Macaca mulatta: one gene and its partners. The protein of the gene in region 2 purifies or fractionates together with the protein of the main gene of each other region. This does not show direct contact. Links are inferred from orthologs where the notes say so. Each region holds a gene or a part of one and is shown on either strand. Other genes may lie near its edges.

Region 1 (4,347 bases), on a different chromosome or scaffold from region 2:
AGGATTGGTTAGTACATGGCCAGTCAAGGTAAAGATGATTGCAATCATCACCAGAAATCTCTGCAGAACTACAGAGGGCTCCTGGGACTAATTCTGAAGAGCTCTGACCGAAGTGTGCTTTATTTTGCCTGTACCAATTCTACCAAGTAGATGAATTCAGTCCATGGCTTGCAGGCTTGGAGGTGGAGGTGGGATGGAGAGCATAAATTACATTTCTGCAGGTGAAACCAGAGCATAGTGAGCCAAAACCCCTTTCTACCTGGGTGGCATGAATGGGTCCAACTGCTACTATCCCCCAGGACGAGGGAGCAAGGCGGGGGGGGGGCAGGATGGGAGGATGGGGCTGCCTTGAGCCTCCTGCAGGATGACTGGCAACTACTTTCTTAGCGGTCCTTAAGGTCCAATCGCGGTTAAGGCACTAACTAAACTCATTCTTCAGCCTCCTTCTCTAAGTGCTCCTCGAATTGCTCAGTTTAGATGCCCAGAAGTAGGCTCAGGATCCATTCTCTGCGGCAGCACAATGTAGGTCAGATAGCATGAATGCAACAGCTACTTATGAACACAATAGCTACTCTGTTATTGCAAGGTATCCACAACCACCACTACAAAGATTAACACCTTGCTTTACTTGGGGGGAAAAAAAAAAATCATGGTCCTATTCAGCAGTTTCCCCATACAGGGAGAGTTTGCCCCTCCCCCACTCAACAAGGCTGTTCATCCCTAGGAAGTGATTGGAAGTGATTTGAGAGTTTTCCAAAGATTTAGGCTTTCCACTCCTCCAAAGCTTTCACAGTTCTACCTGGCAGAGGTGCGTGGGGGGTAGGGGAGGAAGGGCGCGAAGCTAAACGTCCCCGTTCTGCAATGAGCCTGATATTAGCAGAAACACAAGAGCGGCCTGCAGCCCCATAACCACAGTGCGTCCTTCCCCTTAGAAGTCTGGGGAAAGAAAATCCCTACGCCCAGCCATCATTTCCACTCTTGCGTTTTCAAAAGATCAAAAAACGGAAAGGACCGGCAGGTTGGCAAACCCCAAAGAGGGACCGCCCATCATGTCGGCGTCCTTGGGATCTCAGCAGCCGACGACCCCAATTCAAATCGATCGTGGGAAACCCCAGGGAAAGAAGGTTCACTTGCAGAGAGACAGGATTACAGGGTGCAGGCTGCAGGGAAGTACCGCGGGGAAGGGGGCCTGGTCGGAAGGACTTTCCAGCCACTTGGCACTCATCAAAAAGTTCCCTGTCCGTGACCCCAGTGGCTCATCGCAGGGAGTTTCTCCGACGAACCCCAGCTCAGGGTTTAGGCTTCTTTTTCCCCCTAGCAAAGGACGAAGCCAGTTCTCTTTTCTGGTCTGACTGGCTTGGAAATTCCCCGCGCCTGACCCCGCCCCAGAGAAATCCCCAGCCAGCGTTTATAGGGCGCCGCGGCGGCGCTGCAGAGCCCACACCAGCCCGTGCCGCCGTCCCGCCCGCCAGCGCCCTAGCGAGGAAGCAGCGCGCAGCCCGCGGCCCAGCGCACCCGCAGCAGCGCCCGCAGCTCGCCCGCGCCATGTTCCAGGCGGCCGAGCGCCCCCAGGAGTGGGCCATGGAGGGTCCCCGCGACGGGCTGAAGAAGGAACGACTGCTGGACGACCGCCACGACAGCGGCCTGGACTCCATGAAGGATGAGGAGTACGAGCAGATGGTCAAGGAGCTGCAGGAGATCCGCCTCGAGCCGCAGGAGGTGCCGCGCGGCGCGGAGCCCTGGAAGCAGCAGCTCACCGAGGACGGGGACTCGTAAGTGGCGCAGACCCGGAGCCGGGGGTCCTCGGGAGGGCCGGATGCGCGCGGCCGGGGAGTGGGAGACGCCGGGCCTGGAGCCCGACCTGGGGAACTAGCGATGCAGCCGGGCTGGCGCCGCGGCGCCCCGGGGCTCCTGCACCGCCCCGAACGCTGCAGGGCTGCAGGGCCGCGCGGGGCACCGGCCCGACTCGGAGGGGCGGCGGCTGGGCCCTGGTGGACGGCAGCGTCGCCACACGCCCCCTCCCCCCAGGCCTGTCCTCTAGGCCGGGGGCGGGGCGGCAGCTGGGACGCGAAGTCCCCGGTTGCATAAGGCGTTTCTGGCCGCTGGCGGGCGCCGAGCAGCCGGGAGGGGAAGTACAGGGCGTTCCGAGCTGGCGGGAGGGCGGGGCGGTCTGGCCGGCGCCCGCCGGGGCCGCGGGGGGAGGGGGGCGGAAAGTCCCTGGGCGCCTGCCAGGAACACTCAGCTCATAATAACCTCGCGGAAAACACCGCGGCCTCGGCCTCCAGAAACCCCGGCCTTGCGCAATCCCCCGCAGCCCGCGCCTCCCTGGGCCCCACGCGGTGCACTCACCACCCCTGGGGTTTTTCCCTCTCTTCCCCACAGGTTTCTGCACTTGGCCATCATCCATGAAGAAAAGGCACTGACCATGGAAGTGATCCGCCAGGTGAAGGGAGACCTGGCCTTCCTCAACTTCCAGAACAACCTGCAGCAGGTGCGCCGCTTGCCTGGCCCGGGCTCTCTAACTCTGGGATGGAACTGATGTAGCAAAGTCACCCCAGATCCTTTCTGAATTCAGGGCCACTGGGCATTATTCACCCTCACCTTTTACTTCACGTCAGCCCACATCCTAGAGAGTGAAGGAAATTCCACTGATTTGGTGAGGTCTTTGTGACCCACCTGGAGTCTCTGCTATTTGCCAGTCCTCCCCACCCGCCTGTCCAGGAGGAGCAGCACCCAACCAGGAGACACGGGTTCAGGGGAACTCAGGGTGTGGGTTTGGTCCCTGGCTTACTTTCTCTGGTCTCTCCTGCATTCGTAGACTCCACTCCACTTGGCTGTGATCACCAACCAGCCAGAAATTGCTGAGGCACTTCTGGGAGCTGGCTGTGATCCTGAGCTCCGAGACTTTCGAGGAAATACCCCCCTACACCTTGCCTGTGAGCAGGGCTGCTTGGCCAGCGTGGGAGTCCTGACTCAGTCCTGCACCACCCCGCACCTCCACTCCATCCTGAAGGCTACTAACTACAATGGTATGTCTGCCTCCCTGCCCTGCCCCACCCCCTCAGGTGGCAGGTGATGTGGAGAAGGGGCAGGTGGGCCAACTTAAGGAGTCGAGGCAAGAACTTAAACTGCCAGCATTTGAAAGGTTGAGAAAATACGTGTGCAAAGTGCCTGTTGGATGCCTTTATAAAGTTCCTTCAGAACCCAGACGGTGGGTTCTTAAAATTCAGAAGATATGACTATTTGTCCCATAAAAGAATAGGTGAAAGGAGTGAGGGTTGAAACAGGTGGTTATACTTTTTTCGTTTTGTTCTTCCAGGCCACACGTGTCTGCACTTAGCCTCTATCCATGGCTACCTGGGCATTGTGGAGCTTTTGGTGTCCTTGGGTGCTGATGTCAATGCTCAGGTTAGTGCTTCCTGCCTCCGATGCACTGAGTCAAGTTCCCCGTGCTCATGTTGTGAGCAGAAATTCCAAACGCAGCCATAAGCATCTCAAATTCCTTTTGGTTTCAGGAGCCCTGTAACGGCCGGACTGCCCTTCACCTCGCAGTGGACCTGCAGAATCCTGACCTGGTGTCGCTCCTGTTGAAGTGTGGGGCTGATGTCAACAGAGTTACCTACCAGGGCTATTCTCCCTACCAGCTCACCTGGGGCCGCCCAAGCACCCGGATACAGCAGCAGCTGGGCCAGCTGACACTGGAAAACCTTCAGATGCTGCCGGAGAGTGAGGATGAGGAGAGCTATGACACAGAGTCAGAGTTCACGGAGTTCACGGAGGATGAGGTGAGTCTGTGAACTCCTTGGGCTCTCTAACTAATGAGGGACCATTCCCTTCACCCTCCCGGGCCCCTAGAACTGCTCCTTATCAGAGGGGTATCTACATAATGAGTCTCTCAAATTTCTGTGCATAACCAGTATCCCAATAATGTACCTTTTTTTTTTTTTAAAATAGCTTACCCTTTTTTAAAGAAAAGCATTTTTTAAAACATTTTTAAAATGGGAGTTAAAGGCAAACTCCCTCAGCCTGTAAAGTTCATTGTATTTGGGCTATGGAGAATGGAGTCCAAGGGTTATTTCCAGTAGCGGCCTCCCCATCCCAGTGGCTTGGCAGAGCTTCGGAAGTTTAATGTGTCTTCTTTCCCCTTGTTTTCAGCTGCCCTATGACGACTGTGTGTTTGGAGGCCAGCGTCTGACATTATGAGCGCAAAGGGGCTGAAAGAACATGGACTTGTATATTTGTACAAAAAAAAGTTTTATTTTTCTAAAAAAAGAAAAAAGAAAAAAAATTTAAAGGGTGTACTTATAGCCACACTGCACACTGCCTGGCCCAAAACGTTTTATTGTA
Region 2 (3,647 bases):
TAGAGACGGGGTTTCTCCATGTTGGCCAGCGTGGTCTCGAACTCCCGACCTCAGGTGATCCGCCTGCCTCGGCCTCCCAAAGTGCTAGGATTACAGACATGAGCCACAACACCTGGCCTCAGAATTTGGGACATTCTACAAAACATCCATCCTGTTCTCCACAAGTGTTCATGTCACGAAACACAAAGACAGATTGAAGAACAGATCCAGATTAACAGACACCAAAGAGGCCAGGCATGGTGGCTCACACCTGTAATCCCAGCACTCTGGAAGGCCAAGGCATGTGGATCACTTTAGGTCAGGAGTTCAAGACCGGCCTGGCCAACACGGCAAAACCACATCTCTACTAAGAAATACAAAAATTAGCCAGGTGCGGTGGTGGACCTGTAATCCCAGCTACTCGGGAGGCTGAGGCAGGAGAATCGCTTGCACCCAGAAGATGGAGGTTGCAGTGAGCCGAGATCACACCACTGCACTCCAGCCTGGGCAACAGAACAAGATTCCATCTCAAAAAAACAAAAAACAAAAAAACTTACCTGTACCTTATTAACATGTTAATACCCTGCCAAAAGTAATCACCTTTGCGTTTTTTACTTCCAGTGTGTGTGTGTGTGTATATATATATATATATATTTGTTTTTTAATTGAGGCAGGGTCTTGCTCTGTTGCCCAGGCTGGAATGCAGTGGTGCAATCTTGGCTCACTGTAGCCTTGACATCCTAGGCTCAAGCGATCCTCCTACCTCAGTCCTACCATGTAGCTAGGACTACAGCCATGTGCCACCATGCCTGGCTAATTTTTATATTTTTTCTAGAAATGGGGTTTTGCCATCTTGCCCAGGCTCATCTAGAACTCCTGATCTCAAGTGATCCGCTTGCCTCAACCTCCCAAAGTGCTAGAATTACAAGCCTGAGCCACCGCACCGTGCACTACCTTCATTTTTTCTTTTTCTTTTTTTTTTTTTTTTGAGACAAGGTCTTACTCTGTTACTCAGACTGCTGTGCAGTGGTGCAATCTTAGCTCACGGCGGCCTGCACCTCCCTGGGCTCAGGTGATCCTCCCACCTCGGCCTCCTAAATAGCTGGGATTGTGCCACCACACCCGGCTAATTTGTGTACTTTTAGTACAAATAGGGTTTCACCATGTTGGCCAGGCTGGTCTCGAACTCCTGACATCAGGGGATCCGCCCGCCTCGGCCTCCCAAAGTACTGGGATTACAGGGGTGAGCCACCCTGCCCAGCCAAATGTCCGACCCCTCCTTTTTTCTGAATCTTTTGGATTCCAGGCCAGGTGATAGTATAATTAATATCTGGTCCACCAATAACAGTAATATTAGCCACCATCAAATAAACGTATAAATGCATGCGGATTGCTCCAGGGTGCAGGGGAAGACCCAGTCCCACCCGCCCGGGGCCGCTCGCCGGGCCCACCTCTATGGCGGGCAGCGTCTTGCTGGCCTCGGTGCTGCTCTCCCCAAGGATGCTGCCGGCCGAGCGGCCCTCGCACTCGTAGCGGAAGCGCATTCCGCGCTGCTTGGGTTGCTCGGTGATGACCAGGTGCGGCTGCGGGCCTGGGCCCTGCGCGGGCGGCACCAGCCTGCCCAGGGGGCAGCCCCAGGGCGGCGGGGTGGCTGGGGGCGCCACAGGGCCAAGGGTGACCGTGCTCAGCGAGGCCGCCCCGCGAGACACCAGGCGCGGCAGCCCCTCGCCCGGGCCCGGCTGCCCCCCATCCAGGCCGAAGCCGTTCTCCTTGATGTACTCATCGATTATCTCTGCGGGAGAAGAAAAAACGGGTGGTGACTCCGATTCTTTAAAAATTAAAAAAAAAAAAAAAAAAAAAAAACGCTTGATTAACCCCAAGACATTTTCCATCCCATTTATCTCACACACACACACACACACACACACACACACACACACACAGTCAGGGAGGCCAGATGCGGTGGCTCACGCCTGTAATCCCAGCACCTTGGGAGGCCGAGGTGGGTGAATCAATAGAGGTCAGGAGTTCGAGACCAGCCTGGCCAACGTAGTGAAACCCCGTCTCTACAAAAATTAGCCCACATGGTCTCCCACGTCTGTAATCCCAGCTACTCGGGAGGCTGAGGCAGGAGAACAGCTTGAACCCAGGAGGCGGACATTACAGTGAGCCAAGATCGCGCCACTGCACTCCAGCCTAGGCGACAGAGCAAGACTCCGTCTCTAAATAAATAAATAATAGGCCGGGCGCAGGGGCTCACGCCTGTAATCCCAGCACTTTGGGAGGCCAAGGCTGGTGGATCACGAGGTCAGGAGATTCGGACCATCCTGGCTAATGCAGTGAAACCCTGTCTCTACTAAAAATAAAAAAAATTAGCCAGGCGTGGTAGCACACGCCTGTAGTCTCAGCTACTCAGGAGGCTGAGGCAGGAGAATGGCGTGAATCTGGGAGGTGGAGCTTGCAGTGAGCCAAGATCATGCCACTGCACCCCAGCCTGGGTGACACAGCAAAACTCTGTCTCAAAAAACAAAACAAAACAAAACAAACAAAAAAATATATATATATACACAAATTGGGCATGGTGATGTGCGCCTGTAGTCCCAGCTACTCGGGAGGCAGAGGCAGGAGAATCACTTGAACCCGGGAGGTGGAGGTTGCAGTGAGCCAAGATCGTGCCATTGCACTCCAGCCTGGGCAACAAGAGCGAAATTCCATCTCTAAATAAATAAATCAATAAATACAAAAATTAGCTGGGCGTGGTGGCGCATGCCTGTAATCCCAGCTACTCGGAAGACAGGAGGCAGGAGAATTGCTTGAACCTAGGAAGCGGAGGTTGCAGTGAGCTGAGATAGCACCACTGCACTCCAGCCTGGGCGACAGAGCAAGACTGTCTGAAAAAATAACTTAAATAAATAAGAAAGGGCTTGCTCCTCCAACTGCCTGTTCCGCACGGTCCCCCATTCAACCCATGCTGGCTGCTTCTCCTGGTCTCAGCTCGTATGTTATCTCTTCAGAAAGGCCTGACCTAATGTGTCTTCCCCAGGCCAGCTCTCCCTCGTCCTGTTTATTTTCTTCACAGCTCTCAGCCCAGGCTAACATGATCTTGCTCATCTATTCATTTTGCTCTGTCTCCCCGACTGGGTTATCAGCTCTGTGAGGGCAGGGACTTAGTTTTGTTCATGGCTGAATCCCCAGGGCCTAGAACAGTGTCTGTCTGTACTCCTGAGGGGATTAATAGCATTATTTTAATTGGTTTTCTTTTTGAGACGAGGTCTTGCTCTGCTGCCCAGGCTGCAGTGCAGTGGTGCAATCATAGCTCACTGCAGCCTCGGCCTCCGAGGTGACCTCCTAGGCTCAGGTGATCTTCCTACTTCAGTCTCCCCAGCAGCTGGGACTACAGGTGTGCACCATCATGACTGCCTAATTTTAAAAAATTTCGTGTAGAGATGGGGTCTCACTGTGTTACCCAGGCTAGTCCTGAACTTCTGGCCTCAAGCAGTCTTCCTGCCTCTGCCTCCCAAAGTGCCAGGATTACAGGCATGAGCCATGGCCCCTGGCCTGCTGAGTGTTTTCCAAGTGTCAAGCACTGCTAAGCACCTTAGGAGCATGACTTTGTTCAAATCCCTCCACAGTCCTGGAAGTCCCACAGTGACACCTCTCCCCCACCC
Region 3 (2,710 bases), on a different chromosome or scaffold from region 2:
AACGCTAAGCCCCGCCTCTGCTCCCCTAGGCTGGTCCACCTGGCAGTGATTCACGAGGCCCCAGCGGTGCTGCTCTGTTGCCTGGCTTTGCTGCCCCAGGAGGTCCTGGACATTCAAAATAACCTTTACCAGGTTGGTGGCGAGAGAGGGTTGTGCCTAGATACCTGTTTGTGCCCTGGCAGCCATCCCCAGCAGGCACACCAGTCCAAAGGCTGCTCACTTAGGAAACCAAATGCCAGACACAGCTAGAAACTGAGGAGACAGACACAAGTAAGACATGGCCTCTGCGCTGAGGTGCTTGCAGCCTGGGCTGGGGGACTCATATCACCAGCTAAATACACAGCCTGGTGACAAGAGTTGTGATAGAGACACATACCAGCTGCTGTAGGGTCCAGGGTCTGTGTGCAGCAGCCAGGGAAGGCTTACAGAGGAGATGACATCTGAATGGAGCCTTCACAGAGAGTTTCGCCAGGGAGGGACTGCCTGGTGCCTCTCTTTCCTCCTGCAGCCTACCCTCTGGGGGTAACAGAGGTCTCCCCATGGGGTGGGGGGCTAGACTCTGCCCCCACATGTCCTTTCTCCAGGGCCTAAGGTGACTTACAAGAAAAGCAGGGAGCTACTTTCTTCACCTTTCTTCCAGAATTGGGGTCACAAGAGCTTGGTGGGGGAGGGGGTGACAGGAGAAGGGCTTGGTAGGATTTCCTTGGAAGAACAGGCTATGGCCTTAATGAGCTACTTTCAAAGAAGATGCTGGCAGCTGGTGATTCTTGAGCCCAAGCATGTTCCCAGAGGTGGGAGCATGCTGCAGTGGCCCCATGACCCTCTGTTTGTGCCTCCAGACAGCACTCCATCTGGCTGTACATCTGGACCAACCGGGTGCAGTTCGGGCACTGGTGCTAAAGGGGGCCAGCCGGGCACTACAGGACCGGCATGGTGACACAGCCCTTCATGTGGCCTGCCAGCGCCAGCACCTGGCCTGTGCCCGCTGCCTGCTGGAGGGGCGGCCAGAGCCAGGCAGAGGAACATCTCACTCTCTGGACCTCCAGCTGCAAAACTGGCAAGGTGTGGACAGTCTTAAGGGCCTGTGGGATGAGGAGGGCATAGGAGATAGGGACCCCACTCTTGGGGAAGGGAGGGTCCCAGCTTGTCCATTGGTGCCCCTCCCACTCTAAGCACATAGATATTCCGTACATCTTTGCTAAATGAATGAATGGATGATTTGATTTTGAATTTACCCAGTACCTACTGTGTGCTGAGCAGAAAACTAAATCTTGCCCTTAAGATACTTAGTTTAAGGGCCGGGTACGGTGTCTCACGCCTGTAATCCCAGCACTTTGGGAAGCCAAGGCAGGTGGATCACGAGGTCAGGAGATCGAGACCATCCCAGCTAACATGGTGAAACCCCGTCTCTACTAATAATACAAAAAATTAGCCGGATGTGGTGATGGGCACCTGTAGTCCCAGCTACTCAGGAGGCTGAGGCAGGAGAATGGCGTGAACCCGGGAGGCGGAGCTTGCAGTGAGCCAAGATTGGGCCACTGCACTCCAGCCTGAGCGACAGAGAGAGACTCCATCTCAAAAAAAAAAAAAAGATAGTTAGCTTAATAGAGATTAGATGACCTGATTCATTCATTCAACAGAAATGTACTGAGGGTTTTCTATGTGCCAGACATTATCTTGGGAGCTACACCTGCATCTGGGTGCAAAATAGAGAAAGGTTGAGATGAGCAATAAATATAAGAAGTGAACTGTGTAATATCATAAAAGGAAGTAAGTGCTGTAGTAAAAAGTAGAGCGGAGTGAGAGGAAGGAATGTGGGGAGTAGGAGAGTTGATATGATTGTTAAATAGGGTGGCCCGGGAAGGCCTCATGGAGCCAGTGACATCTGAATAGGGCCTTGAAGGAGGTGAAGAATGTAAATTTGAATCGAAATCTCTATTACTAAGCAAGGGTCAGGAGTGTCCAGACCAGAAAGGAGAGCAAAAAGGCCAGGGGAGCACAGAAGGAAGTGGCCACTGAGAAAGGGCTGGGGTCATGAGGATCTTAGGTGGCTTTTCAGAAAAGGTGGCTTTCTGGGCTTGAAGGCAGGTTGTGTGTGTGTGTGTGTGTGTGTGTGTGTGTTGTGATTTGTGTATAGGAGGAGGGTGTTCTTTGGGGGTGTCACTCAGCAGCCTGACCCCTGAAGCATGAAAGTTTCAATAACATGACTCTGAAAAGGTGGAAACTTTGAGTTCCTTTCCCCTTAGACTTTTGAGGGGGTTTTGGGGTTTGCATTTTAACAGTCTTGTGATTAGAGACATTGAGTGGGCAGTGAGTCCCTTGGGGCTGAGTGATAGGGAGGTCCCAGAAGAGAGGGAGTTGGTGGATGCAGATGAGCAGCCCTCACCCTCACCCCATCCCAGGTCTGGCTTGTCTCCACATTGCCACCCTTCAGAAGAACCAACCACTCATGGAACTGCTGCTTCAGAATGGAGCTGACATTGACGTGCAGGTGAGGCAGCCAGCAAAGCACTGCCCAGCCCAGGGCCTGCCCCCACCTGACACAGCCCCAAGCCCCTGCCCAGCAGTCAGAAGTGGTGGCATTCACCTCCTTATCCAGAGCCCAGGCCCAGCACACTGCCTCTGAGGGCCTTGGCTGACATCCTTATTCCTTCCCAGGAGGGCACCAGTGGGAAGACAGCGCTGCACCTGGCTGTGGAAACCCAAGAGC

The links.
Region 1: the proteins of RELB (region 2) and NFKBIA purify together in Homo sapiens (affinity purification with mass spectrometry; 4 studies listed by BioGRID and IntAct, counting the BioPlex papers as one, with this or other methods). This does not show direct contact. The link is inferred for Macaca mulatta from reciprocal best matches to the Homo sapiens genes RELB and NFKBIA.
Region 3: the proteins of RELB (region 2) and NFKBIE purify together in Homo sapiens (affinity purification with mass spectrometry; 3 studies listed by BioGRID and IntAct, counting the BioPlex papers as one, with this or other methods). This does not show direct contact. The link is inferred for Macaca mulatta from reciprocal best matches to the Homo sapiens genes RELB and NFKBIE.

What each region holds. Positions count from the first base shown.
Region 1 is NC_133412.1:108,520,497-108,524,843, reverse strand, and holds the start of NFKBIA (NF-kappa-B inhibitor alpha), read left to right. Parts: upstream 1-1,455; 5' UTR 1,456-1,545; coding exon 1,546-1,772; intron 1,773-2,382; coding exon 2,383-2,491; intron 2,492-2,818; coding exon 2,819-3,029; intron 3,030-3,319; coding exon 3,320-3,408; intron 3,409-3,515; coding exon 3,516-3,785; intron 3,786-4,155; coding exon 4,156-4,203; 3' UTR 4,204-4,347. UniProt on the Homo sapiens protein: Inhibits the activity of dimeric NF-kappa-B/REL complexes by trapping REL (RELA/p65 and NFKB1/p50) dimers in the cytoplasm by masking their nuclear localization signals.
Region 2 is NC_133424.1:57,520,281-57,523,927, reverse strand, and holds part of RELB (transcription factor RelB), read right to left. Parts: intron 1,772-3,647; coding exon 1,431-1,771; intron 1-1,430.
Region 3 is NC_133409.1:137,854,189-137,856,898, forward strand, and holds part of NFKBIE (NF-kappa-B inhibitor epsilon), read left to right. Parts: intron 1-29; coding exon 30-132; intron 133-839; coding exon 840-1,062; intron 1,063-2,402; coding exon 2,403-2,491; intron 2,492-2,658; coding exon 2,659-2,710. UniProt on the Homo sapiens protein: Sequesters NF-kappa-B transcription factor complexes in the cytoplasm, thereby inhibiting their activity. Sequestered complexes include NFKB1-RELA (p50-p65) and NFKB1-REL (p50-c-Rel) complexes.